Linked DNA regions of Danio rerio. Each later gene encodes a partner of the first gene's protein in a complex. Links are inferred from orthologs where the notes say so. Each region holds a gene or a part of one and is shown on either strand. Other genes may lie near its edges. The genes, in order: os9 and ube2j1.

Evidence for each region.
Region 2: os9 (region 1) and ube2j1 share a complex: the UniProt entries of both Homo sapiens proteins name them as parts of the HRD1 complex. The link is inferred for Danio rerio from reciprocal best matches to the Homo sapiens genes OS9 and UBE2J1.

The regions. Positions count from the first base shown.
Region 1 is NC_133181.1:41,754,981-41,758,518, reverse strand, and holds part of os9 (protein OS-9), read left to right. Parts: coding exon 1-203; intron 204-3,259; coding exon of another isoform or gene 3,260-3,478; intron 3,479-3,538. UniProt on the Homo sapiens protein: Lectin component of the HRD1 complex, which functions in endoplasmic reticulum (ER) quality control and ER-associated degradation (ERAD).
Region 2 is NC_133195.1:1,225,550-1,228,062, forward strand, and holds part of ube2j1 (ubiquitin-conjugating enzyme E2 J1), read right to left. Parts: exon of another isoform or gene 2,105-2,513; intron 1,940-2,104; exon of another isoform or gene 863-1,939; intron 492-862; coding exon 228-491; 3' UTR 1-227. UniProt on the Homo sapiens protein: Catalyzes the covalent attachment of ubiquitin to other proteins. Functions in the selective degradation of misfolded membrane proteins from the endoplasmic reticulum (ERAD) and is essential for cells to recover from ER stress.

The DNA.
Region 1 (3,538 bases):
GGGTGAGTTTGATCGTTCTCAGGCTACGCAAACTCTAGAAAATACACTAGGGAAACTTCTGGACCGTCTTGAAGACAAGACTGAACATAAGAGTCAAGCAGAAACAGAACAAAATGCAGAAATGGATAAAAGCACACATTCACCGCATAAAACAGAGGGAGGCTCTTCTTCTGGCAACCCAAATCTGGTTCCCAAAACACCAGGTAAATATAGAGACCTCAGAGGGGAAACAGGTGCATGAGCGAACAGATGGTAGAATGGATGGCTCATTAAAATGTCTCTAACTTTCATCTGTGCACCCCAAGCATTCATAGAATCTGCTTATGAGCTTATTATACTATACATATATAGTATAATGTCTGTGTGTGCATGGCTTGTATTTTTGCATTATACAGTGGCTCAAAAAAGTAGTCATCAACAAACAACTGATGCTAGACCATTTCAATTAATGGCAAATAATTTTTTCTAACTGATTTCAAAGAGAAATTATTAAGTATTAATTATGCCTGTCATGATATCTGCTTTTCTGTTGTACGATTTACACTATCTGACAAAAGTCGTGTTGCCTATCCAAGTTTTAGGAACAACAAATAACAACTTGACTTCTAGTTGATTGTTTAGTATCAGAAGTGGCTTATATGAAAGGCAAAGGCCTCTAAATTACGCTTATTTTACCAAAATATGATCATGACTTGATTTTTAATTATTTAATTAGGACAGTAAGGTCTGACTTTGCTTAGACAAAAGTCTTGTCACTTAACAGAAATAATGTACAGTATAGAATAAAGTCATGGTGCAGTGAAAAAAGAATTAAAATAGTGTATGACTGCCATGAGCTTGCAGGACTGCACTGACACAAGTCATTTGGAATGGTAAAGAAAGCGTTCCTGCAGGACTCCCGGGTCATCAAGATTCTTTGGATCCATCTTCAATGCCTCCTTCATCATCTTACCCCAGACATGCTCAATGTTCATGTCTGGTGACTGGGCTGGCCAATCCTGGAGCATCTTGACCTTCTTTGCTTTCAGGAACTTTGATGTGGAGGCTGAAGTATGAGGAGCGCTATCCTGCTGAAGAATTTGCCCTCTCCTCTAGTTTTCAATAAAATTGGCAGCACAAATGTCTTGATACCTCAGGCTGTTGATGTTGCCATCCACTTTGCAGATCTCTTGCACGCCCAATACTGAATTTAACCCCAAACCATGATTTTTCCTTCGCCAAACTTGTCTGATTTCTATGAAAATATTGGGTCCATGCAGGTTCCAATAGGTCTTCTGCAGTATTTGTGATGATAGAGATGCAGTTCAACAGAAAAATCTATCCTCTGCTACTTTTCCAAATGATAAACTAGAAGTCAAGTTTATATTTGTTGCTCTTACAACTGGAAAGGATGACAAGGTGCTGTAGGGCAAAATATATTGCGAAACTATATTGTAATTTTAAGATCATTTTATGCCACTCATTATATAATCCCAGAATGACAGTATAATATTATTGCAATGCAAGTACACTCTTCCAAAGAAAACATCATATTTTATTTTTAGGAATATTTTATTTAATTACAGACATTTTAATAATGAGGCATTGCGATCAGAATGGAATGTGAAAACGTGTTTCCTAAACAATTAAATAATAGTAAATGTTAACAAAATGTGCAATGCAAAAAGTAACAGAGGCTGTGATATCTGCTACCAGATTTCTTTTCATTTGTCAGACACCAAATAATTTATAGTTAATACTATAGTGTTTTTAACTATACTGACACTGAAACCTTCAATACAGATCGAGAGGTTGGGCAAACAGCTAAAATGTTGCTAGTTTTTATGTATGAGCCATATATATTGCATCACCAAAAATTATTGACGTCAAGTCTATGTATTGATTATAGTGACGAGCCAAGTATTAATAATTTTTTTTATTGTAATTTTTTATGATACACTGCTATTTGAAGGTTTGGGATTGGCTTGATTTAGGGTTTTGAAAGGATATCTTGCTTATCAAGGCTTTGTTTATTTAATTAAAATACAATAAAAAACAGAACAGTCTGTTTTAGTATGTATTTAATTAAATATAATTTATTTCTGGAGTTTGAATTGAATTGCCACATGACAAATGAGAAATTGGTTACTCAAGAAACAATTATTATTATTATTATTATCAGTTTCAAAAATAGTTGTGCTGCTTTAAAGGCATAGTTCTACCAAAAAATGTTTAGTAGTTGGCTACCAGTTTCCAGCATTCTTCAAAATGTCTTCCTTTGTGCATTTCAGAAAAAAAATTATACATTTTTAAACCACTTGAGAAAAAGTAAATGATGACAGATATTTTCATTTTACTTAACTGCCTCTTTAAAACAAAATCTTTTGTAATATTTTTTAAAGTATTTTGATTCATTCCTACTGACCTCTATGGAAGCCCGTTCTGGCCACTGAATAAAGAATGAGTTCAATGAAAAAAAATATATAAAGTAATAATTCTGAGTTAAGTCAAAATTCTGAGTTATTAAGTCAGAATTGCGAGTTTTTAAGTCAGAATTCAGAGTTATTAAGTCAGAATTCAGAGTTAAGTCAGAAAGGTGAGTTATAAAGTCAGAATTGCGAGTTATAAAGTCAGAATAGCGAGTTAAGTCAGGATTGTGAGTTGTTAAGTCAGAATTCAGAGTTATTGAGTCAGAATTGTGAGTTTTTAAGTCAGAATAAACAATAAAAAGTTGGATATAGGCTTTATGTTTTGATTATGAGCTAATGTGCATGCATCTTTAACACTGCATTTATGGTCAGTTGGCATAACAGGAAACGCAATTATAATTCGCAATTCTGACTTAAATACTCAGGATTGTGACTATAACTCAGAATTCTGACTATAATTCGGAGTTGCGACTTTATAACTCAGAATTGCGACTTTATAACTCAGAATTGCGACTTTATAACTCAGAATTCTGACTTTATAATTTTTTTTTATTATTAGTATTTTTTTTTTATTCAGTGGCAGGAATGGGCTTCCATAGACCTCAACCTATTCAATAGTAGTGTATTTTTGTTTACTTATTTTCAATGATCAGCAGTCAAAATACTTTTTAGATGCCACTGTATAAACGATGTTCATGATGAAATCACTGTCACCGCTGTTTTTAATTCTACACATTGCCATACTGCTGTGCAACTCTGTCTTTTGATGTAATACAAAGTGGGCAGGGGGATTTTATTTTGCGATGTACTCGCGGTAACCCTACCCTTCCCTCTGTCTCACATCACCCAAGCGGACAGCAGCGGCGGCGGCGAGCAGGTAAAAGTCAGGGTGACTAAGTATAAGGTGGGCGGAGGTGTGGCTGCAGGAGCGGTTACCGGGGGCAACGATGATGGTGATGATGATGAGGGGGGTGTGAAGGTGCAGGAACTGGGCGAGGGCGACCCCCAGTGGCAGCAGATTCATGAAGTGGTCAAAGAGCAGCTAGAGAGAGCCGGCATCAAGGCCGAAGGTAGGCCAGAACACACACACACAAATCTAAAGTATGCTTATTTCCCTGTGTGTGTGTGTC
Region 2 (2,513 bases), on another chromosome or scaffold:
TATTAGTTAAGGCCACTTAATAGAAAGTGGGACCAAAACAAAATATTAAAATAAAAAACTATCATTTTGTAAATTTGGTACGTTTTCGGGGTGAAATCAAGACCTGACATGGTACCTAGCGTACTAATATTCACCCCTTTTGATTGGTGAAAACATTTACGAAGAGTTGAATGTAGGAAACAGGCGTCCCGTCCTGGTGCCAGAGCGAACGCCGCTTGGGAAAGAGTTCACAGCTCGTAGTCAAACTTGTACTCGTGCGCTAAATAGATCCTGCGGAAGATGAGTGCGGCCAGAGCCAGCGTGAGCAGCACGATGAGGATGGCCGAGCCGGTGCGACTGCTGTCCTGAGGGAGGTGCGGGGGTGCAGGGGACGCCGGGAACACGGGGGATCTAGGGGACTGGTTCTGGGAGCGGCGCTGACGCGGACTGGGAGCTGCTGAAACTGATGGATCCTCGGCTGATGTCTGAGGAGCCACAGATGAGGATTCGGTCTAAAGCAGAAGACGACAGAGAGCGGAGATCAGTGCAGGACACACCATCACTTCCACACTACACAACAGGGGTCTCATTTATAAACATGGAGTAGACAAAAAACTGGAGCGGTAATCAAGTGTAATAAATAAACTGTTTTCACAGTTCTTGAAGAAAAAGGCACATGCTGCGTATTCTGATCAGACTCGACTCCTCCATTTTCACTTTGAGACCCTTCCTTTAGGGCGGAGGCTGCACAAACTAGTGACAAGAAAGAGTTCAAAAGGTCATTTATTCCATAAGTGGTGACAAATCCTTTAGCTGAATCCTTTATCAAGTCCTTTAGCTGGAATATGTATTATCAGGATTGTTTGTTTGTTTTTTTTATATAATAAACCCTCTCTATTTGGGATGAGTTGGGTTAAAGTGTTTTATGGGCTTTATAGAATGTAAATATATGTTGTATGTCAGTGTCAAATATGAATTTCTGTCCAGAACCTCCATGCAGACAATAAAAGAAGGCACCAAACAGTCAAAAACAAAGAGCTGACAGACACTAAACAGCTGATGGAGTATACACTAACCTGCGCATTATTCAGCCACTAGATGGAGACAAACAGTCAAAAACACAACAGAAACTAAAACAGCTGATGGAGTATACACTAACCTGCGCATTATTCAGCCACTAGATGGAGACAAACAGTCAAAAACACAACAGAAACTAAAACAGCTGATGGAGTATACACTAACCTGCGCATTATTCAGCCACTAGATGGAGACAAATAGTCAAAAACACAACAGAAACTAAAACAGCTGATGGAGTATACACTAACCTGTGCATTATCCAGACACTAGATGGAGACAAACAGTCAAAAACACAACAGAAACTAAAACAGCTGATGGAATATACACTAACCTGCACATTATTCAGACACTAGATGGAGACAAACAGTCAAAAACACAACAGACACTAAAACAGCTGATGGAGTATACACTAACCTGCGCATTATTCAGACACTAGATGGAGACAAACGGTCAAAAACACAACAGACACTAAAACAGCTGATGGAGTATACACTAACCTGCGCATTATTCAGACACTAGATGGAGACAAACAGTCAAAAACACAACAGAAACTAAAACAGCTAATGGAGTATACACTAACTTGCACATTATTCAGACACAAGATGGAGACAAACAGACAAAAACACAACAGAAACTAAAACAGCTGATGGAGTATACACTAACCTGCGCATTATTCAGACACAAGATGGAGACAAACAGTCAAAAACACAACAGACACTAAAACAGCTGATGGAGTATACACTAACCTGTGCATTATTCAGACACAAGATGGAGACAAACAGTCAAAAACACAACAGAAACTAAAACAGCTGATGGAGTATACACTAACCTGCGCATTATTCAGACACAAGATGGAGACAAACAGTCAAAAACACAACAGACACTAAAACAGCTGATGGAGTATACACTAACCTGTGCATTATTCAGACACTAGATGGAGACAAACGGTCAAAAACACAACAGACACTAAAACAGCTGATGGAGTATACACTAACCTGCGCATTATTCAGACACTAGATGGAGACAAACGGTCAAAAACACAACAGACACTAAAACAGCTGATGGAGTATACACTAACCTGCGCATTATTCAGACACTAGATGGAGACAAACAGACAAAAACACAACAGAAACTAAAACAGCTGATGGAGTATACACTAACCTGCGCATTATTCAGACACTAGATGGAGACAAACAGTCAAAAACACAACAGACACTAAAACAGCTGATGGAGTATACACTAACCTGCACATTATTCAGACACAAGATGGAGACAAACAGTCAAAAACACAAAGCTGACAGACACTAAACTGGCTGAATGGAGCATAAACTATACAGGATCGCATCTAGAATGTTAGGGGCTGTTTACACATGGGGTCTCAATTATAAATATGATGTACGCAAAAAACAGGGGCGGAGATGTGCATTTAAAAAAAATCTGCGCCACTTTAAATCATC